Linked DNA regions of Arabidopsis thaliana. The protein of the gene in region 3 interacts with the protein of the main gene of each other region in a pairwise test. Each region holds a gene or a part of one and is shown on either strand. Other genes may lie near its edges.

What was found.
Region 1: the proteins of AT1G55805 (region 3) and GRX4 interact in a two-hybrid assay, tested with the Arabidopsis thaliana proteins (one study listed by BioGRID).
Region 2: the proteins of AT1G55805 (region 3) and GRXS17 interact in a two-hybrid assay, tested with the Arabidopsis thaliana proteins (one study listed by BioGRID).

What each region holds. Positions count from the first base shown.
Region 1 is NC_003074.8:5,305,382-5,313,451, forward strand, and holds GRX4 (glutaredoxin 4), read right to left. Parts: upstream 4,244-8,070; 5' UTR 4,003-4,243; coding exon 3,931-4,002; intron 3,654-3,930; coding exon 3,513-3,653; intron 3,427-3,512; coding exon 3,327-3,426; intron 3,215-3,326; coding exon 3,148-3,214; intron 2,974-3,147; coding exon 2,895-2,973; intron 2,804-2,894; coding exon 2,753-2,803; 3' UTR 2,384-2,752; downstream 1-2,383. Other genes in the region: AT3G15650 (alpha/beta-Hydrolases superfamily protein), read left to right, coding at 625-655, 768-879, 1,143-1,236, 1,332-1,401, 1,490-1,594, 1,704-1,854, 1,937-2,019, 2,118-2,211 and 1 more; AT3G15670 (Late embryogenesis abundant protein (LEA) family protein), read right to left, coding at 4,760-5,383, 5,467-5,520.
Region 2 is NC_003075.7:2,515,284-2,523,821, forward strand, and holds GRXS17 (thioredoxin family protein), read right to left. Parts: upstream 4,780-8,538; 5' UTR 4,642-4,779; coding exon 4,471-4,641; intron 4,389-4,470; coding exon 4,314-4,388; intron 3,820-4,313; coding exon 2,599-3,819; 3' UTR 2,313-2,598; downstream 1-2,312. Other genes in the region: AT4G04940 (transducin family protein / WD-40 repeat family protein), read right to left, coding at 1-6, 92-267, 650-893, 1,002-1,205, 1,299-1,399, 1,534-1,561, 1,644-1,769; ALN (allantoinase), read right to left, coding at 7,018-7,149, 7,251-7,349, 7,488-7,598, 7,674-7,784, 7,857-8,012, 8,096-8,222, 8,311-8,450. UniProt on the Arabidopsis thaliana protein: May only reduce GSH-thiol disulfides, but not protein disulfides. Participates probably to the maturation of iron-sulfur proteins and to the regulation of the redox state of the BOLA proteins.
Region 3 is NC_003070.9:20,855,482-20,862,553, forward strand, and holds AT1G55805 (BolA-like family protein), read right to left. Parts: upstream 4,003-7,072; 5' UTR 3,958-4,002; coding exon 3,475-3,957; 3' UTR 3,129-3,474; downstream 1-3,128. Other genes in the region: AT1G55790 (ferredoxin-fold anticodon-binding domain protein), read right to left, coding at 1-109, 402-588; AT1G55800 (uncharacterized protein), read right to left, coding at 1,304-1,307, 1,377-2,098; AT1G55803 (ferredoxin-fold anticodon-binding domain protein), read right to left, coding at 2,142-2,344, 2,574-2,754; UKL3 (uridine kinase-like 3), read left to right, coding at 5,792-5,933, 6,011-6,102, 6,204-6,273, 6,386-6,504, 6,717-6,813, 6,947-7,026. UniProt on the Arabidopsis thaliana protein: May act either alone or in interaction with glutaredoxin as a redox-regulated transcriptional regulator, or as a factor regulating Fe-S cluster biogenesis. The glutaredoxin-BOLA1 heterodimers bind a labile, oxygen sensitive iron-sulfur cluster.

The DNA.
Region 1 (8,070 bases), on a different chromosome or scaffold from region 3:
GTTAATGGGTATCCATCAATCATCTCACTTTTGTTTTTCATATATATTTCATTAAACAAATGATTGAACAAGTAGATTTTTTCTTTCTTTTTCAATTTTGGATTATGCCCTCATGTTTCTTGTAATATATATACATACTTGTGTTATGCTATAATATATTCTTTTACGCGGTAGAGTTTTTATTTTCCTCCACTGCCACAAGGCATTGATTCTCTCTTTCTCTCTCTCTCCTCTGTGTAGTTTTGCCGCTAGCTCTGCTCTGGTTTTGATTTTGATTCCTTGTGTTCCCAAAAAGATTTATTTCTTTTGTTTTTATAACGAGAAAAAGAGAAGAAAATTGATTGTCTCTTTCCATGGATGCCTTCTCTTAGACTACGACTAGTATAGTTTTTTTTTTTGTGTAGCTGTTGTACACATTTAACATCCCATAGTGAATGATTCAGATTCACATTTCTTTTCTTTTATTCCTTCCTCTCACCATCACACCTCCAAATTTGCTCTATAAATACACATTTCCCCTCCCTTACCTTCTCTTATATTTTCCATTGGTATTTCAAACTTTTAACTACTATATCACAACAAAGTCTCTAAATTGTGGTGAAAAAAGATCATTGAACAACAACAATGAGCTATTCTCGTCAAAGCATGGGTTCTGGTTTGTTTCTCACTTACTTGTTTGGTTCATGTTAGTATTATCTTAAGTGTGTCACTTGTGTGCTTATGTGATTACTCTGCTTTATATATGTTTCTGGCAAAATCTTTTGTAGGTAGTAGAAGTACAAGGGGCTATGAGTTTGGAAGGACTTATGTTGTGAGGCCTAAAGGAAAGCACCAAGCTACTATTGTTTGGTTGCACGGTCTTGGAGACAATGGCTCCAGGTATTATAATACTATCTCACTTGCCTTGTTTTTATGAACAAAATCAAGTAATAAAGAAAGTTTTATGCTTTGAAAGCTTAAAGTCATACTTGTCAAAACAATGCCTAAATGACTTTAATAGATATCAAAACAAACTCTTCTTAGGACAAAACTTAACACTTTTCCTCTGTTAGTTGAACAGTTTCAAGTATAAATGTGTTATGAAAAGCTTTAACTTTTTGGTTTAATTGACTACTACAAATAAAATGAGCTTTAGAAAGTAGAATTTTGGCGTGTTCTTTGATAACAACTTCTCACTTTGGCTCTGTTTCTTTCTGCAGCTCGTCTCAGCTATTGGAAAGCCTACCTCTTCCAAACGTAAGGATCCATGGAAACAAACTTGGAAGTAATTTTTTGTATCACTAAATATTCTTAGTGAAGGTTCTGATAAAAGATATATGGTATTCTGTCAGATCAAATGGATTTGTCCAACTGCTCCTTCGCGTCCTGTTTCGCTTCTCGGTGGATTTCCTTGCACTGCCTGTAAGATCATTCAGTTAGCTTCTCTAGACTTCATCAAAACATTATTTTAAGCGTTTGCCAATAAAACCAATTTCTTTGCTCCTCTCAGGGTTTGACGTGGGAGAAATTTCTGAGGATCTTCATGATGATATAGAAGGCTTAGATGCTTCAGCTGCACATATTGCTAACCTATTATCTGCTGAGCCAACAGATGGTAAGCCAACCATGAGTTATATATATCTTCATTCCTTTGTCACAGGTCTTGATATAATATATCATAATCTCTAGCTTAACTTGAAAATGTTATTTGTGGTTTGTGTCAGTCAAAGTTGGGATAGGAGGTTTCAGTATGGGTGCAGCAATAGCTCTCTACTCCACGACGTGCTACGCTCTTGGACGTTATGGAACCGGACATGCTTATACTATAAACCTACGAGCTACTGTAGGACTTAGCGGTTGGCTTCCTGGTTGGAGGTATAAATATATGTCTTCAACCCTTTCTTGTCACTTGTTAACACAGAGACTTAACATTGAAAGCTTAAACATAACAATGCAGGAGCTTAAGGAGCAAAATAGAAAGTTCGAATGAGGTTGCAAGGCGCGCTGCATCGATACCGATCTTACTTGCACATGGAACTTGTATGTTTACATATATCATTATATGATTTACTGTTTCAAGATAAAATCACCGAAGAGAATCTAGAATTTTATTCACTTTATGTGTTTTTTGGTTGCAGCGGACGATGTAGTTCCTTATAGATTTGGAGAAAAATCTGCTCATTCACTTGCCATGGCTGGATTCCGACAAACTATGTTCAAACCATATGAAGGGTAACTGTTCAACCTATATCCCAAAGTTATCATTATCAATCTAGTTGTTTTAGTCTGAGATTGTGAGGTTTTAATGTGATTGTGTAGGCTTGGTCACTATACGGTTCCTAAAGAAATGGATGAGGTGGTTCACTGGCTCGTCTCAAGGCTTGGTCTCGAGGGTTCGCGTTAAACTTTACAAGCATCTTCTCAGCATCTCTATAGCTATTATACGATGGTGTAGAATATTTATATTATATATATAAGGGGTGGGGGGTTTCTTGGGGTATACGGTGTTCTCTCATGTTTCTACTGTTTTGTGATTTATTCATGCTTTTCTACTGTTCGATTCTTGATTATGAATAATAAAATAAATAAATAAGGCTCGTTGGGCTTCTTTGATTTTGCTATCTTAGTTTACCAAAGTTTTTATTCATACGAAATCCAAAGATTTTTGAGTTTCTGAGACATTATTTTACCGTACATGAAAAGACATTCTTATGAAAAGAAAGAACAAAAACATAATAACTTCCACTCGTCAGCATAACTTCCAAACTTTGGATCAATCTTGGTTTCCGGAGACGTCTTTAAGCTTCTGCTCCAATTCACCTTCCTAGAATAGTAAAAGAGACTTGTGATTAAACAAACACAATGGAAACGGGGGAAAAAAAAGTCAAACAGGGTCTGCTTTAAGTGGAACTAACCTTGTGCATGTTAAGGATGATGTCTGAGCCGCCAATGAACTCTCCCTTAATGAAGATCTGTGGAAACGTAGGCCAGTGGCTGCAAAGAAATAAAGACTTGAAAATCAAAGGGAGGTCTAGATCATATAGGTCAAAGATTAAGGAATGAACGGTAACGAACTTCAATAACAAAGCCAAACTTTATGAAAAAACTTTGAGAATGAGATTATACAACTCTCTGTATGAAACTTTCATTAAGTGTCCACATACTCACCTGAAGGATTTCACAGCGTTTTTCAACTCTTGGTCTTCTAGAATGTTTCTAGAACTGATAGGAACATCTAAAGAAGGATATCACAAGATAGTAGATCAGAACACAGAGCCTAACGCCAATAGTAAAGAAAATTCACAGAAGGCTTCTTCAGTTTCAATCAACATTTCAACAAAACTTACTATATTGCTGCAAAACTCTGACGGCTAGTGAGCTAAACCCACACTGAGGAGATTCAGGGACACCTTTCATGTAGATCATAACAGGATTATCCTTCACATCCTACACAACCACCAAAGCTAAAACAGCATTAGCAAACACCTAACAAAGAAACATTCAACTTCAAATCTAGAGAAGCTGGAGTGTACATTCTCAACGATATCTTTAAGTGAGTCCGTAGAATCGGGAGGGACTTTTTGTGTAGGCTTGAAATCATCATGTGTATCTGAATCACTTGGCACTGTTGAGGAAAATCTCATCATCCCATTTTGGTAGACTGATGCAGACGTCTGCAAACAAAAACCACATCATTCTTCTCCATGTTAAATTCAACTATCAAATGATCATCAATACCATCTTCTATTGGAAACAAATTCATTTTCACATAATTCAAAACCATACGCTCACGTAACTATCTAATCCGGTTCAACTAACAAAAGAATCAGAACCTCAAATGTTATATAAAGGAGCAATTTTTAAGTGATTCAAGATGGGAAAAGAGAAAACTTTATTGAGCAAACATTAGATACATCAAAATTGAGTAAAAGGGTTATGAGAGAATCTAACCAATCTGCTAGAACGAACAGCTTTGAGATTAGCGATTCCTTTTATAAGTCTGCTCGATAAAGAAGCCGCCATCTCTAAATCACGCAGATTTCTTCAAAGTGTTCCGCGGTTTTGTTTAATCGAAATCTGTCTAGAAAACTATCAAGAACAGGAATGAGAAAAAAAGATTAGAGAGGGTAGCTACGAGGAAGAAGGACGGAGCTAGAGATCTTTACAATGTCGCGACCGCTTCTCTTCATCTCCAGTGACCGACCCAGAGAACGACGTCGTGTCATTACTCATAACCCTAAGATGTTATACGATGTCGTTTCGGATGGTCACCAAAGTATACGTCCGTTGACGTCTTGATAAATTTATTTGGTTTGCTCGGTTTAGATAAATTACTATTCAATTTTTTTGGTTTACTTCTCTCATTTTAGTAGATCTATGAAATTGAACGATTCGTAAAACGTAAAAGCAGACACAAATGTTTTATTGAAATTTTTGATAAAAGAAATTGAAAGATTAGTAAAACCCGTTTGGATTAGCAGCTATATCTGTATAATGCTAATGCTTGATGACCAACATACGAAGTGGACCATGATGTGTATTAATAACTGTTTATTGTAACAAAAATAGAAATTTGAGAACACATAAGTTGTAACAGGATCAAATCTAAACTTATTGGCTGGAAATTAGAAGTCTCCAGGATCACCGTCACAACAAGAAACACAGCTGAACCACAACCATAAAGAAAGACACAACGGAAATTACAAAAACACAAACACAAAACTCAAAAGACCAACTAACACAAAGATACTTTCATATCGTTCTCAATTTTGTTTTCTCATCACTTCCTCTGATAAGTCTGATGAGTCGGATCAGTGGTTCGAGTAGTTGCAGTAGTGGTAGTAGTACTTCCTGGATAATGCTCTTTGTCTTCTTCCTCAGTAGCCATCCCAAAAGTATGCTTCACTGCATCAGCTGCACCCATTGCCATTTGCTTAACATGCTCACCAGTCTGGCTCAAGAATCCACCCGTCTTGTCTCTACCGGCTTCAGCCGTCTCCTTTGTGTACTGTGCCGCACCTTGAGCCGTCTCCTTTGTATACTGAGCAGCGTCTTGAGCCTTGTTCTTTATGGCTTCGCCTGTCTCCGATAAGTAGCTCCCGGCCTTGTCCTTGGCCTCGCGAGCTTTGTCGCCAGCTTGAGATGTCTTTTCTTTTGCTGCTTGCGTCGTCTCATGGGCCTTTTGCTGTGCCGTTTGGGCAGTTTGAGATGTCTTCTCTTTTGCTGACTGGGCCGTTTCATGGGCCTTCTGCTGAGCCGCTTGGGCAGTTTGAGATGTCTTATCTTTAGCTGACTGGGCTGTCTCATGGGCCTTCTGTTGGGCTGTTTGGGCCGTTTGAGAAGTCTTGTCCCGGCCCTCCTCAGCCTTGTCCCTCATCGTTCCCATAGCTTGTCCAGTCTTCTCCTGGTATTACACAGACAAATCATCTTAGAGCTTATATAATGTGGTTTTACGTATACACATACACAAAAATATATTCTTATTACCTGGGCCTTGCCTCTGGTCTCACCAGCTTTGTAGCTCTGTTGGTTGGATGCCATTTCTTTCTTCAAATGTGTATCAAACGAAACTAGATAAGTTTTAAAAGCTTTTTTCGTAAAAGTATTTGTTGTTGTAGTAGAAACTGTGATTTGTCTCCCCAAACCATCGGGACATTTGTAGTGTGTCTTGGTCGGCGGAGAAGAAGACACGTATTAGCACATTGAAACGTGTATAGCTGCGTGGTGTGTTGAGGTTAAAAGAAAATTAAAAAAATAGGAGTTTAGGGGTGTTGTGCTTTACGTTGCAAGCGTTAGTATGCGGTTTCTCGGTCTTGTCCGTGTTGTCCTCTGAGGTTGCGACACCTCATGGTTAAGAGGAAGATGCTTGCTACGTGGCAACACCATAAGTATCGTCGTCGCATGTTATGAGATTGCTAATTTTCATTTTTTTATTGTATCATGGAAATCGGCCGTCGGTCGGTACATGTTCCGTGACGTATTAACTATCAACTAACATTTAGATTATCACGATTAAAATACTCTTTAAATTATTATCTTCACTTACAAGAGCCAAACTTGATCTCATATAAACCAAGCAACTTCGAGGTTATTAGCTTTAACTACTCACCTTCACATAAATAGTGTGACAATTAGCCAAGGAAATTTGCCTTGTGTGAATCATATGCAAATATTTAGATGATGTAATTAGTATTGTATAAATACTACTAATTAACATTTAACTATAGTCTATAGACACACTGAGACAACTATCACTGCTACACAAGTGTGACAAATTTAGATGTAACCAATATACATATACGATGTCAGACAAAAAAAGGGGATGAGTACTAAAAAGTGTATTTATCAAACACAAATGAACCCACTACCAAGCCTCGAGCAAATTTTAGTGGCCTCCTTGATCAATGGATCCACTTAAAAAGAATTACATTGATATTTCAAAATTTTCACCAATTGATATATTCTCTACTTTCACTTTGATTACTTGAAAACATTGATCCAAAACGTGTTATGGATTAAAACATATATAAGAACAAATGAACAATATGGCACTCTTTTGGAACAAACGCCATCGCAAAACCACCGAGTCATCCCAATTATAAGTTTGACGGTAATAATTAATCGTTGGTGGCCATCTATTTGTAAGAAAATTGTTTTTGTTTTTTCCTTTTTCAAATTGTATTGAACGAAACCTTTTACTATGTTTAAAAACATTTTTGAGCGTTTGAGACCGTAATAAAGGTTTTGTTATTTGTTATGCTTGCAGTTAAAAAAGCTAATTACTTAATCTTGTAAAATAATAAACATAAAAGTAAAATGAAACTATGAAAGAGGTGATGCATGGATGGGAGTCCCAAAGAGAATCGAATCAGCTCAGTTCCTTTTTTTTTGTTTGCCCACTTTACTCTTCTCCAAGAGAATGGACTCCAGATATTAGCAGTTTCCCTCTCTTTTTTATTTTGTTAATTATAATAGAAAATTTTAGTATATTTCGAAGATTGCCCATTTTTGTGCTTTGTTCTAGTTAATTTTAAAAATTTTATGGGAATAAACAGCGAGAGAAATAAAGGAAAATTAAAGTGAGAAATAAAGGAAAAGATGGTCAAAACGAAAACATCGAAGAATTATTCCGTCACCATCACCCAAATTTATCTTTATTGAAACTCTCTATTTTGCCTCATCCCTTTTGATTTTCCCTTTATCTTTTCTTTTCCCCTCTTTTTATGTTTTTTTGACCCATAATTATACTAGATTTTATTTTGTTCACTATCATATTTGTATGGTTCTCTCATATCTATTATTTATCCCATCGACGCATTTGTAATCATTTTGTTGGTTATACCCTTTTAAACTTAAATTATATGAACATCTTCTTTACAAAACTTGGGAATGATTTTTTTTCCCGGTATTATTAATGTATTGATATTAAAACTGATATCAACAATATATTATGAGAGGTCATATGTTAGCTCAATTTTGTTCATAAACATCTATTTTACTAATAACATGAACCAAAAATTTGTAAATGTAATCAATGAAAACAAAGAATGATAACGATAAAACGAAATTATATGATACATATTATAGAGAAATTTATGTTCTAACAAACTAAATATATTATCTTTATGCATATTTGACTGCAACCTATTTTTTAAAAATTATATACTTGAATAAAATTGGGAACCCATGTATCACTCTATAGTAAATGAAAAAGTCAGAACACAGTTTAAAAAATGTTAAAATACAATAAGATTTTGTTTTTACCACTTTCAACATATAAATCGACGTAAGAGCTTCAATTATATTCGTTATTAATCCACTTTCAATATTATATATTCAGAGTAGAACAAAGAAATAGGGCAAGCTAGAAGCATCGTTTAAATATGACAAATCCTAACACACCATGTTAAACTTATCAATATCCATCTTATTGATCATTCTTTAGTTTTAAAGGTTACAAAATTTTGTTACGTTGCCGCTAAGCAAAGGAGAATTTGTATTATATTTTTTGTAAAAAGAAAAGAAGAACAAAAGATAGTGAATATTCAAAATTCAAAAGTAGTATAAATTTTTATTCGTGTCTCGGATGTC
Region 2 (8,538 bases), on a different chromosome or scaffold from region 3:
CCACATCTACAGGAACGAGGCATAAAACAAATATTATATGTGGCAAAGTGGATGCAAATAGGTTCAACGGGTAAGAGGAATCTTAGCTTACTTTAAGTGAGTTATCTGCTGATGCACTCATTAGCACCGGCTCATTGGCTAAAAAGTTCAATGAGATTATAGAACTGTCATGTGCATCCCTAATGACTGACTGAAGCCTTTTTTTGTTAAGATTCCAGATGCTTATGACACCAAAGGAACCTCCAGACGCAAGAAGGGGACGTCCATCTAACATGACAGGATAAACAACACATGTTAGAACTGGAAAGTATCGAACTTCCATTAGCTATAGAACGGTTACTACCAAAAGTTACTAGTAAAATTACAACCTACACTAATGGATCTCTTGAGCCTGAAACATGTATGGACAATTCTAATTCATGAAACAATGGGTGCATAGATGGTAAAGCTATGTAATGGAAAAATAAATATTTAGCTCCACTTAAAGACAAATGGACGAAATTATTTTTGGTCACTACACTCATAGGATATCTATCAGCAAGAAAAGATTGATAAACTATTATCCGCTACGAAATTAGATTTAAAAGGTAATAAAACCAAGAAGCGCTCAAAGATTTTACAAATAGAACTACAGGGCTTAGGTGTTTACCTGTACTGAAAGACAAAGCAGTAACAGCACCTCGCGAGGCATGTTCAAATGTTACGATCTCTTCGTCCAATTTTATGTTATGTACATGGATCTTTCCATCAGCACAACCAATTGCAACAACATCCAGGGCAGGGGATGAAACACAACTGGTGACAGATGAACCCCAACCCTTAAACTGATAGAGCATCTTCTTAGTATTAATATTCCATAGCTGCAGCGGACCCTCTTGGCTCCCTACAAGAACCTACCAATGTGGTTCCAAGTAAGAGAAACATGCAAAGAGTTAGAAAGGCTTGTCAACAGAAGACACCAGGGGAAAAAAAACTGAAATCCTGAACCAAGTATGACTCACCTTGTTGAGATAGGTATCTGGGTGAACAATAGAGGTAGGGGTAAACTTTCCAGTAAGCTGAAGATTTCCAATTGGAGCTAGATGTTCTTCGATTCCTTTGAATGCCCATATGAACATATTTCCTTCCACGTCAAGACTAAGCACATGTTCTCCAAACACCAGTAGAAGATCAACTTTAGCAACATGTTTGCTCCAAGTTGCTACCTATAGATATACCCACAAGAATTCCAACTATAAACAAAGTACTCATAGATATAAAAAAAGCAGCAACTTAACTATAGTTACAATGAGATATACCTGATGAGCACGCCTAAAGACAGCGATTTCATTGCCAAACGCAACAAATGTGTAGTCTCGGTAAGAAGCTAAAGCTCTAATTTTCTTTGGAAGCTGAGGACCTTTAAGATAACACAAATTAGATTATAAGAAAATTTACACTGCATAGACAAAACCCAATTCTAAATGCATGAATTTGAGTAAGAGAATGATTGAAAGGACAAAACTTTAGGTTTCAGAAGAAGGAAAAACTTACTGATTATGACTAGATTGAGCTTGGCACACTGCAACAAGAGAACCAAATTAACAACAGAATCGAATGAATAAAGAACACGCAAGTGAAACTATGAAGATTGGGAGCGTTACATTATAAATCTGGAAAGCTTTGCCGACGCTGACGGTGACGAAAGTCTCGGTACCCAATCGCTGGACGGAGAACGGAACCGTACTCGTTATGTAACCTATTGCTCTAAACGGTTCGAAAATTCCCATCTTTCGAGTTCGAACAAGAAATTAGGGTTTCCTCGGAAAAACGATTTTAGGATTATCAAATCAAAGAAAGGTTTTTTAAGAGCTTGAGAGAGAAAACGCGGCGCAGGAGCGATGGAGGAGATACAGCAAACAAGACCTTTGGGGTTTAGGGTTTAACGAAATTTCTTTGTCCGAATTTTAATTTTATTTTCCGGTTTAAGTGTCCGCTCGGTTTATACAGGTTCTTTATTTGGTTTGGAGAATGTTAAATTTGGTTTGGTAAAATTATGGTTCGGTTTTGGCTAAAAGTCATTGAAATGTAAAACCAAAACCATTTTAGTTTAATATTTAACTAATTGTCAATATCAGTATCAATTTTAAAATTATGATGACTTTTGGTTTAAATCTTGTTTAAATGTACAAAGTCTCGGTTAATGCTCGATTGCAGTTTGGTCTAAACTCTAAACAAATGATTTCCATTCGGTTTGATTCTAAGAAATTTGAGTTTAATCACACAAAATCCCAGCCGTCGGATCTTAAGAAACTCTGTAACATAGAAAGATTGGTGTTAATCCTAGCCGTCGGATCAAGCTTTCTTTGTTTAAACCACTCTTTGTTTTGTTACTCAGTCTAAAAGCAAATGTGGTCAAGATAACCATAAATAAAGATTATGTTGATACAAAGAGAGAAAAATAGTTATGAATCTAATAGACTCAGCAATAGAAATAACAAGACAAAGCTTGAGAAGCAACAATATCAATGTTTGTAACACCTAAAACATATTATTACCATAACTGAAATGTTCTCTCTCACCAAGGCAAACCAGCAGACAGAGACTTGTATATATTACTTACTCGGATAGAGTTGCTTTGAGATCACCACTCTCACTTAGCTCCATAATGATATCACATCCTCCAATTAACTCACCTTTGTAGTATAGCTGAGGAAAAGTTGGCCAGTTTGAGAAATTCTTAATCCCTTGCCTTACTTCTTCATCAGTCAAGATATCAAACGATCCGAAACTCACGTTTTCTCCTCTCAATGCTTTCACAACTTTGGAGCTAAATCCGCATTTCGGTTCATCTGGTGAACCTTTCATGAATAGCATTACTTCCGAGGAATTGATCAGTGCCTTCAATCTATCTTCAAGACTCTGTTCTCCAGTGATCCCTTTCTCGGTCAAGACCTTTTTCAGCTCACCGCTCTTTTGCATCTCCAAGACAATGTCTGATCCACCCATAAGCTCGCCTTTCACGTAAAGCTGAGGATAGCTTGACCAGTTTGAATACACTTTAAGGCCTTGGCGAACTTCGTCATCTAAGAGGATATCGAAACTCCCAAACTCGATTTTTTCTTGGTTGAGGATTTCAACCACTTTCCCACTGAACCCACACTTTGGTTCTTCTGGTCTTCCTTTCATGAACAGCATAACTGGTTTGGAATTGACCAGACCTTCGAGCCGAGCTCGGAGGGTCTCACTTAAGCCTGTGTTTCCTGAACTAACCCCTCCTCCTTTTCCAGCTTCATCCTGACTTTCTTTTGAACCAACTGTCGTGATCCCAAGATCTTTGAAAGCATCTTTTAGTTCACCGCTCTCGTGCATCGCTATTGCGATATCAGCTCCACCAAGAAGCTCTCCGTTGCAGTACAGCTGAGGAAACGTTGGCCAGTTAGAGAATTTCTTCAAACCCTCTCGCACTTCGTTATCCGATAGTATGTCAAAACTTCCAAAATCAACGTTAACCTCTTTCAAAATGTCAACTACTTTCCTGCTAAACCCACACCTAGGCTCTTCAGGAATACCTTTCATGAATAACATGACAGGGTGAGAATTAGTGAGCTTTTCCAAACGGCTCTTGAGAGCATCGGCGGTAGATACAGGCTGAGCTCGGTCTTGTAAAGAAGCTTTCGCATTCTCCTTCACAGTTTCAAGAATCGTTGGCCCAGCAGCCAACCCTAAGCTTGCAGGAGCAGCAGGCTCCGCAGAAGTACTAGAACCAGCAACTTTGCCAACCTTATTAGCTAAACTTGATGGATCTGCACCCTCAAGTGTATCCACAGTTTTACCATCCTTCAATAAGAAAACGAATTCACAGTCAGAAGAAAGTAACAACTTTCAGAACAATCATTACAGTGCAGTGACAAAGATTCAAGCTTTGAACACACTCTCAATCCTATAAAGACAGAAAATTGCAACCAACCAATTAAAACAAAGAATCAATAAGTCTGGAGCTAAATGGATAGGCGAACCATCTTCTTCTACTACCTGATTAGATAAACAGCTTTCAGTAATCTAACAGAGACGCAAACTAATCAAAACAAAAACCCTAAATCCTAAACTTTCGATCAAAACATAGGGACAAAGATTCAAACTTTTGAACACACTCTCAATGCTATAAAGACAGAAAATTGCAACCAAACAAAGCAACATAAAGAATCAATAAGTATGACTTCATCAATGTCTTCTTCTTCTACCAAATTAGACAAACAACTTTAAGCAAAAACAAAAACCCTAAATCCTAAGTTTTGATCAAATCATAGGGAACAAAAAAAACGTAACTTTACCTTGAAGAAGACGAAATAAGGCACAGCAGCAACAGAGTAAGCCTCAGATATCTCAGGATGTTCCTCAGCTTCAACCTAAGAAGATAAAACCAATAACAGTCAAAAACCTCATTGAAAGTGATAAAATTTTGAATTGGTCAAGAGAACAGAGACGAACCCTAAAGAAGTGAGCACGAGGGAAATCAGTAGCGAGATGAGAGAAAACTTGATCCATCTGCTTCGAAGCATCACACCAAGAAGCCCAGAAGTGAAGCACGACTGGTGCGCCGCTCTGGCGCAAGTTATCAAGCTCCGCCTTTGAAACGATATCCTTCACCGTACCGCTCATCTTCGAAGAGGGAGAAGGATCTCTTAACACTTTTTTTTTGTGTTGTGATTTACCAATTTATTATCGAGCAGAATACACTCTGTTGCTGGAGAAAGAAAGGAGATTTATGTAAATATAACAAAATAAAAGGACCTAACGATACAATTAGGGTTTTTGTGTGCCCAATGTGATGCTAAAATTGCTCACTTATGTAATTTCTTTTTATAAAAATAGTAAAATTATATATGTCAGCGGAAGGAAAAAAAAATTGGAAATTAAGTAAGGTAAAAATGTTAAAATTCTAGGTGATAACAATCTTTAAAAATAAAATAATTTTGAAAAATATTAGATACATTTAAATTAAAACTACTAAAAGTAAGTTTGACTAATAAAATCTTAATCCTATTTTTTTCTTTCTAAAATTAATACTAATTAGAGGAATTGTATATATCAATCCTCATCGAATTGGATTCTCATAAAACAGTCTAAGAATTAGGTTACAATTCTTTTTTTCTCCTTTGTTTTGTATGTGTGGAATTGTTTAATTCTGTTATATTAAAAATCCACAATTATTTTAGCATTTGTATTTTTAGTTATTTTATTATACTATCTTTTTTTTTAAATGATATAATATATAAGCTTACATCATTTAGATAATTGATGCATCTATTAATTTTTGTGTAACATCACTATTTAAAATGATACAAAATTTACATCAATGGAAACTGATACTAGTTAACGACTAATCATCGACTATAAAATGTGATGTAAATGTTTACTTAATTTGTCAAAATCCTACATTTCTCCCACAAAAAAAGAGGTTTCATAGTTTTCTTACATATAGTGACCTTGGTTTTTTGGTGGTGTAAAAAAATATAAAACTTAGTATGCAAAGTTTGCCTTCATATTAATTAATGAAATTACATAATACTTTTTAAAAACAATTAATTGAAAGTCATTTTATTTAATTAACATCGATTATCCTACTATATTATTTGGGAAGTACATTTTAAATGTAACCTTTATTTTTGTAATTAATTACATGATAATGCCATTAGAAAAATTTAATCAAAAACAAAACTCTTTAATGACGTCATTAAGGTTACCAAAACTTTGATAAATATAACGTGGTCTTACCTAGATATTCCTCTGGGTATTCTTGTGATTCAATTATGTTCACGTCTGATCGGCGAAGACGTTTAATAAGGGGTTTGTTCTCGGTGAGAAACCTTTTCCGAACATAAGCATCTACAGATCGGATGTAGAACCCACGTTGAGCCATAGTTTGTTTCATATTGTCAAGAACCGTTTTCAAGCTCAATTTCTTAGGGATGTGAACATATTCTACATCCCACAATTCCTTAAGAAAAAAGAAAAAAAAGTATACTGATCCGAAAACAATTAACAAAAAGCGAACAATATACTACTACATTACCTTCATAGGCTGCAATCCACCTCTATTAGTGACCACGTTGGTGCTTAGATCTTGCATTGGAGGAAATCCTTTTGGATGAGGAGTTTTTGATTTTGATAAAAACTCATCTCTACCACGTTCAACTTCTTTCTCTTCCTGTTTCTTCACACTGCGTCTTCCCTTTCCTCCAGGTTTTCCTCTTCCTCCAACCATTGTTGACAGAATCGGCGCAAAATGAGGGTTCAGACGAAATGATGGAGGTTTGTACGTATTCTACACCCTCGGTGATTTATTATATAAATATCAATTTAAGAGAATAACCTACTCAAATCACTAACTAATCCATGATTATTATATACTCATACTTTGAGTTTGGATTACAAAAAAAATATTCGAGTATGAAAAAACTATTAAAATGGTTTTATTGAAAAATCATGTAATATTAAAATAAATTTAGTAATAGTACATTAAATATGTAAAATAAAATAATATAAAAATAAATAATAAATGTATCATTAACCTATAAATTAGAAGTTGAAGAGCTTACATTAATTATTTAATAGACACATGACAAATATATATGATTTTGACCAACTTTCATATATATGATTTTGATAAACTGATGCAAATACTTAGAACACTTACAAAAAGTGATTTAAAAAGATAACATCTTTTTTTTTAGTTGACTCAAATTAACATTAGTTACAACAAGCAATGCAAATATTATGTATACTTTTAAATTATTTGCATCAACAATATATACATCATTTACTTAAGCGATATAAATTATTTGCATCAACAATATATACATGAGTCCACTAACCTTAAAGCCAACAACAAGATTTAGAGAGTCTTAAACTTACAATTGGCAAAAAAGACTCACTCATTACATCAACCATCTTGCAACATGAGAGCAACTCTTAATCGCATATTTACATTTGTTTAAATGGTGCAGATCAAGATCTTTTAAATCCCTTTTTAAGTTAAGTAGTTGCAAGTTGCAGAGACCCGCAAGCATCAGAAGCATGCTTGCCTTCTCCAAAAACCAAGTTCCCTCTCACAAATGTCGAAACCACTTTGCCTGATAATCTTCTTCCCAAATAAGCTGAGATACTCTATTGTACACCACAAGAAGCAAACATAACATAAAGATTACACATTCGTGTTATTCGAGCTTAACCATTAGCTATCTTTCTAGAAAAAACTGTGTACTTACAGGGTGTTTGAAGTGAATTGGATGATCTTCATCTACATCAAATTCGGCTTCAGGTTCCCACACAACAAGATCTGCGTGTTTTCCAACCGTAACCGCTCCCTATAATTAAACCATTACTTATAAGCTGCGATAAATGGACCCCGAATCCTAATAAAAACACGTCTATATTATGCCAGTGTGCTGTGTATGGACAAAAAAGAGAATACTGAAGCTGCGTTTTTTTTTATAATAACGAACCTTAGAGTGTAGTCCAGCGAGTTTGGAAGGCCTATCACTCCACCAAGAAGTTACCTGCTCGAGCGTTACTCCATACTTTTTTCCATAAGACCATGTGATAGGAAGAACAAACTGCAATTGGCTCTTCCATGAGTTTTTTTGTGCTCTCACAGTTTCTACATATTACATTTTTAAGACTAAACGAACCTGTAAAGAAGATATCCCACCCCAAGCTTTCAAGAAGTTGCCATCACTCATAAGTTTGAGTTCAGGCTTTGTAGGTGAATGATCAGAGCTCAGCATATCAATGTCTCCTTCCTAATCAAATCAAAACCTCAGAATCAACGAGTAAGGTATCACAACAAAGATTGCGTAAAATATATATTATACCATCAAAGCTTCCCACAATTTTTCTCTATTTGCCGCATCACGTATAGGAGGGGAGCATTTGAAACGAGTATCACCTTCTGGAATCTCTTCGGCTGAGAAAGCTAGGTAATGTGGACATGTTTCAACAGTAACACTGTCTCCTTTGCCTTTTGCTTCCTTTACTCCATCCAAAGACAAAAAAAATATGTAATGAGATACAACCAAATTCTAGTGCTTCTACTGCTTGAACTCTTGAATACCTTTATCAAATCCAAGGAAGAACTGGCATCAGATAAATGTACAATATGAAGATGAGCTCCTTCTGCAGAACCACCAATTCTTGTGTTTTCAGTAACCGATAATAGGTTTCTGATTGCTCCCTCCTCCCTAATTGCTCAAATAAATATTCCTTTCAGGTACAATGATGACTCTGTAGGAACTTATATATATAGAGTGAAAAGATGCAATATCTCACCATGAAGTAGGCCTGGTTTTTAAATAAGTCAGATAAGAACGAGGATCATTTTCACTACCATCTTCAATCTCTAAGTCTCTCTCGATCTCTGCGTGTACAAGCAATGGTCGTTTGTATTTAGCTAATACAGATAGTCCTTCCTGCATAAACAAACAGTATCAGCGAGACAAGGGCCAATGAGGTTTTTGTAATAACTATTGAATCATGAGAGAAGGATCATAAGACTCA
Region 3 (7,072 bases):
GGGTGAAAATGCAGTGTGGTAGCATCAACTCCATGTAAAAGTAAAGCTCCAAGTCTCTTCAAAGTTTTAAGGTTTGATCTTGCCTTCTTGTACTTTCTAACCACAACATCTGCTTCAATCACCATGAACAACAGAGGAAATCAAGCTTAAAGCTACAACCTTTAAACAGGTTTATAATCAGTACAAAGTATAAAAATCACATCTTTCACCGGAAGCTCCACAATTGCACTAGAAATTGATTTCGATTCTTCTCAGAGACAAGTTTGATCAAACTGAAAGAGTGATGATATCTTGCTAAAATAGTGACATAAAACCCTAAAACCTAAAACATAGAAAACTGAAGCGAAAACGAAATAAAAAAACCCTAAAAGCTCTGACAATGTAAGTAAACCAAGTGTTACCGTATGAATCGAGAGAGGAAGCGCAGATATTGGAAGCAGAGCCGAAGAGAGTGGCTAAGCTGTGAGAGAATGAGAAATCTCCTTCGCCGACGAGAAGTATCTGATGGTTGGATGAATAGTGTTTGACCCATACTTCTTCATCACCGTCGCTGTCTCTGTTAAGCTGCGAGAGCTCTCTCATCGCCATTGCAGCGATAAAGGATGCTACTTTGGAAGGTTTTATTTTCAATTTTCAATTTTCAAAATAACAAAAGTAACGTTATTGTATTTAAGAAGAGAGACGGTTCAGTTTCTCATCTAGCGAAACCAAAACAAAAGGCCATCACAAAATTGATTCTGTTGATTAAGCTAATGCGTTCTGTATATAGGTTGTGTGTGTTAGTGCCCGCCCCAAAAATATGATACTTTAGTCCGCTCATGTTTTAGTTCGTTTTGTACCCAACCTCCATTCAAAACCCTATGAGTTGTTCCAATGTAACTCGGAATAGTGGTTAAGCTTAGTATATAATAGTCTACAGACTACAAGAATTGGTTACAATAACATTTTCAAGTTACTCCGAATACTGTATTACGTTAAGAATGCGTCCTACCAAACCTTCTGGCGTAGGGTCTTAGTTGGATATATCACAAGAGATTTATGGGATTTTTCTCCACAATGCAAGTCGCGAGACTCACAATCATTTCAACTACATAATCTCCAAAAGGAAAACATCCAGATAAATACACACAATTACAACAAAAGATTATCTCCATATAGAGCATTGCGGTTTTGAGCTGTCAGTAATCAGCCTAATAAACAAAAGAGAACATAGAATGCAGCTTTGTTAGTGAGTCCAAGTTTCAGTCATCTTCTTTCCATCAAAGTTATCCTCAGAAGCTCCTTGAAGTTTATTGGATATGAGTCACCTACAAAATTTCAATATCGATTTAGCATGTTTATTTCATAATATAAGCAACTATCAAGGATATATTTACCTGATTTTAAGGTTCCTCTGCCTCCTCATTCTTAGTTTTCTTGATTCTCCAGTGCTGTTCCGTATTAACATTTTTCGTACTCTCCCGTTATGAATTCCATGAGAAACTCCTCTGAATCGGAGAGAGCGTTCAGGGAACGGTTCTTGGCTAGCTTGTACTGCATAGTCTTGACAAAGTAGGCGGCGTGTTTCTGATGATTCTTTAGTGTAGTGATGAGGAAACCTCGTCCGTATCACCATTCGTTGTAATTCTCCATTATGCATTTCAAGAGAAACTCTTTTGAACCGTTTAGTGCATCTTGGCAGTTCAAGATGTATCGAGCTGTCTTCAAAACGGGCATGTTTCTTATTCATCGCCCGAGTTGATAACTCTCGGGGACACTTTGATTCTACTTCCTTCACCTTCTCTGCATAAAGTTCCTTGGCGACACGAGAGAATCTGAACTTGAAAGTACTGCACTCTCCCAAAAGGAAAGGTTGGTCACATCTAGACCCATCTCCTCTCTTATTCTCATAACCAGGGTAGTTTCTCTTCTCGAACGCCTCAAGCTGAATCAACACAAGAAAGCATCTGCTAGCAAGCTCCTCTAGATTCCAATAACAAAAAGGTGCTTTGTTTTTGTGAGAGACATGAACTTCTCCATCAGCTCTTAGCATATGGCTTGCACCATGTAAAAAATCTTTAAACAAATTCCTCAAAGTTGCAGCAGCTGGTCTACACATTCAACTGCGAGAAGAAAGTGTTTGTAATTTCAAAATGTTGAACTTACTGTATTTGACAGGGATCAGACTCTTTCCTGTGGAAACCGGTGTGCGGGAAGTTGAAGATGACACGATCGAATCTTCTATAACGAAGATCAGGATGAAAATGCAGTGTGGTAGCATCAACTCCATGTAAAAGGAAAGCTCCAAGTCTCTTCAATGTTTCAAGATTTGATCTTGCATTCTTGTATTTTCTAACCACATCATCTGGTTTAATTACCATAAAAGACATGCAACAACTGAGGAAATCGAGCTTAAAGCTGCAACCTTTGTTAACAGGTTTATAATCTATAAACAGAGAGTAAAACAGTGTAAATCTTGAATAATCAAATCATTCACCGGAAGTTCAAAAACTTAGTAAGTGATCACAGAAATGGAAGTGATAACGAAATCAAAACCTTAATAACTCTTACAATGTAAGTAAACCAAGTGTTACCGTATGAATCGAGAGAGGAAGCATAGATATTGGAAGCAGAGCCGAAGCAAGTGGCTAAGCTGCAAGAGAAGGAGAAATCTCCTTCGCCTACGAGAAGTATCTGGTGCTTGGATGAATAGTGTTTGACCCACACTTCTTCATCACCGTCTCTGTCTCTGTTAAGCTCCGAGAGCTCCCTCATCGCCAATGTAGTGAAAATGATGATAGTTTGGAAAGTTGTTTTTTTTTCGTTTTATTTATCTTCGGACATATACTAACGTAACTTGCTCTGTTGATGTATAGAAGAGGGACGGTTTAGCTTCTCCAGACAATGGAAATGACGATTCACTTTACCCACAAAAGAAAAAGGTGATCACTGATTAGATTTGGTTTAAGCCCATAAAGTACATATATTTGTTGCTAAAGGAAGGTGACATGGACTATTGGAAAAGGCGTTTTGTTTCTAGCGTTAGCGATTAGAAGACGCAAACGCCATTGATGACAATGGGAGAATAATCTGAAGAAGAAAGAGACAGAAACATGGAAAAACAACCCTTTTGGCTCCAAGCTAACAAACACGGCACAATCGAGCTTCCTTTGAGAATTCAAACACATGACCATTGATTGGACTTTCAACTAAATGGAGCCTTAATTCAATTCATCAAGCTATGACCATTATAGTTTTGAATGCTAGAAAAGACAGAACTCGAATTGAACTAAAAGCAAGTGTCTTTGTTCCAACACACAATTCCAGAAACACCAACACACAACCTCAAGCGTATGTAAAAATGAAGACTTTGGCTCCGCAATAAATTCCAAAACAGAGCACTTTGATGGTAAAAATTCAATCTTTGAATCGAACAGAGTTTGATGAGAAACTCTGATAACAGAAACAGAAGATACATTAAACAGTACCAGTACACTAGTCTTTAGAAGGAGACTCAGACGGCGTCTTGGAGACGATAGAAAGAGCGTGCAATCCAGTATCCAACTCTTCCCGGAGCAAATGATAGACCAACCTGTGTCTCTTCACCAAATTCATTCCCTCGAATCCTTTAGAAACGATCTTCACATTGAAATGCGTCTCATCGTCGGTTCTACCTTTCATTCCGGCGTGACCAGCGTGCTGATACGAAACATCTTCGATCACTAACTCCACTGGTTCGAGCTCTTTTTGAAGCTTCTCTCTCATCCTGCTCGCTCGATTCTCTATTGCTCCAGAATCCGACCCGGTTTTCTCAACGCTGCTCATTGCTACGGATCTTGAACCAGTTCCCGTCGATTTTGACTCAGAGTTGAAGAATTTAGGTACGGAGATGAAGACGCTCGGAGAATTTACCGGCGATTTTAGGGGTTGAGTCCGGTGGAACCCAGATACGATTAACCTAATCGAAGATGAAAACATTGCCACTGTCGAAGAAACTCGAAACTATATTAGACGCTGTCGTTTTGTCAGCTTATCATCTTCACGAATCTACTATTAGAGGCGTTATTTGCATTAAGGTCCACAAATTTTCAAATATAATAACATCACCCCACATTTGTGAGAAAAAAATTACAAAAAAACAAACAAACTCTAAAAGTGTATCGAAACACCCTCATACTTCTTCACATTTGTGTGAGAAATCAAATAACAAATACATTCGAAAAATGTTTGTGTATATGATTTAATATTTTTTTGGTGTGGTTAAAAAACTTAAGACATAATTAAGTAATAACAATTTACAATTGTAACGTGGATATTTTTTGAAATGTTGATTTATGACCAAAATAGTATTAGATGAATTCTCCAAGAAGATCATGGTATGATAAGAATAAGATGGTATAGTGCTAAAACATACCCAAAACTGTAATCAGTTTTTGAAGTAAAGGCAATATCTTTGATTTGGGTAATAGTTTGTTTCGATAATTTTGGATGTACAAAATTAATTTTTAAAGTGGTTCTAAGCTGCTCATCCAAATTTTTTAAGGATCCTAATCTCTGGTCTAAACTTCATTAATGAATCATAAAAAAATCTACGGAACTAAAAGAAGAAATTGATTATATCCTTCAAATTTTATAGACAAACAATCGTGCAGATTAAATTGTAAATATGCTAATTTTGTTCCTGTGTATAATATTTTACATTGTAGCATCCTTTGGTAGTGTAGATGTTGAGAAAACTAATATTAATTGGTAAATTATATATTTCGAAAAACAAAATTCAGGTAAATAGATTTGGAGGAAACATATGAAGTTAAAATGTTATGGATAAAAACAGAATAAACAAATTATTGTAGACGTAATCCAAAATAGTATAAAATAAATAATTTTGCAGTAACGTAAGATTGCATTCGACCACACGCATCTATATCACTGCGTTTTTAGCTGCAGCTTTCGATAGTAGGTCCTACATCCTATTCGGATCTGACGTGGATCCTTGATCACACTCTCTACTTTAGGGACTCAAACACTCTCACATTTACGAGAATTGCCACTACCACGTCCCTCAGTGGGAAGGGTACTTTCGTAAAACCAAAAAAACCACTTTCCGGTTTCCGCAAAAACCCGTCACCGCCGCTGCATCCTCCCTTCATTCTTTTCTCTCTTTCAACGCATATACATACACTTATATACGTTATCAATATATTTTATTTTTAATAAGTCCAGTTTTTGTCTGTGCATCGAGTTTAACAGGCAATGCTCGTGTCTCTCTCTCTTTATATGTTTAGATTCTTTATCTGGAACTTGGAAGCTCTTTTGTTAGCTATATCTAATCGGTGATCTCGAAGCTTATTCAATCCCTCTTTCTTTTTTCGTGAGTTTTTATCTTCATGTTGATTCGGTTTATATTGGTTTATATGATGATGAAACGTTTCTTATAATTCTTTTGCATGTATTGATCTAAAAAAATCTAGCTTTCTTCTCTTCTGATCTCTGTTTTCTTTTTGTTCTTTCCCTTTTTTACCCGGGAAAAAGTTACGGTTTCATGTTTAGGATTGGCGTTACTATTATCTGGTGGCCTATCATGATTGGTTGATTGTTTTGTGTGTTATACTGGATTTGAGAAAATGGGTATCACGGCATTGGCACTTGTGGCATCTAACTAATATCACTAAAAAGTTTGATTCTTTTGAGGAATTGTTTTTTGACTGGAAAGTGTTCCTTTTTGTTCCTGGATGGTGACAACAAAGGTAGCTTTGCTTTCCTTATTGGCATATTTCATGTGAATTTAGATTTGCATATTTGTGTTGTAGGAATGGCTTCAAAGTCGGATGTGAATATAATAGAGACATCCTCAAAGGTTCATTTCTCAGGATTTCATCAAATGGATGGTTTAGCTTCAAATAGACCAGAGCAAATGGCTGAGGAAGAAGAACATGGTCAACCTTTTGTGATCGGTGAGAGTCGTGGTGGATTTTAGTTTACCAAAGATGGTTAGAAACAGAAAATGTTAAATAGAAAATGTTGTTTTCAGGAGTTGCTGGAGGTGCAGCATCCGGGAAAACAACTGTCTGTGATATGATTATGCAGCAACTGCATGATCAGAGAGCTGTTGTTGTAAATCAGGTGATTCTTGTCCTCGATATGATTATGCAACAATATAAACCATTTTTTTAAAGCTCTTGTAAGTCGATATATAATGCACCGAGGTTGATCTTTGTTTGCAGGATTCTTTCTACCATAATGTAAATGAAGTGGAGCTTGTAAGAGTTCATGATTACAATTTTGACCATCCTGGTTAGTAAGTTTTTGAAAAACTAATGGGTCTTTTGATCTAATGCACGCTGTTCTGTGTCCCTTAGCCTTTTGAATCTACGAATTGTGTGTCATATGCTTCCTTGTCTTGTAGACGCTTTCGATACTGAGCAATTATTGTCTTCCATGGAGAAGTTAAGAAAAGGACAAGCAGTAGATATTCCTAATTATGACTTCAAAAGTTACAAGAACAATGTTTTTCCACCTAGAAGGGTAAGAATCTTTACTTGTCAATTAGTCACTTCTGACATTTAAAGTTTTCTGCTAATTTCTGAAGCTCAAACTCATGATCAAGTGGTTAGCTTTCTTGTGTATTCCATACTAATTACATGCACTCTTGTTTGTCAGATACATAAACTTGTCATCATAGCCTATATAAGAATCATGCTTATACTAATATTTCTCTGTTTATGATATATTTGCAGGTGAATCCTTCTGACGTTATAATTCTGGAAGGTATACTCATTTTCCATGACCCTCGGGTGCGAGATTTGATGAACATGAAGATATTTGTAGACGCAGGTCTTTCCCATACCAAACCTGTTAACACTTATGTAGTCAAATCCGTAGCATATATGAGACGCTGCACTTGTATATGTACTCATGAAGGTAACACATTGGTCTCTTATTTTACATCATGGCGTTATCTATGCAGATGCCGATGTGCGTCTAGCGAGAAGGATAAAACGCGATACTGTTGAGAAGGGCAGAGATATTGCCACTGTTCTTGACCAGGTTTTGTGTGGCTGTATATTCTTGTTTTGCAAATAATTTCTTTATT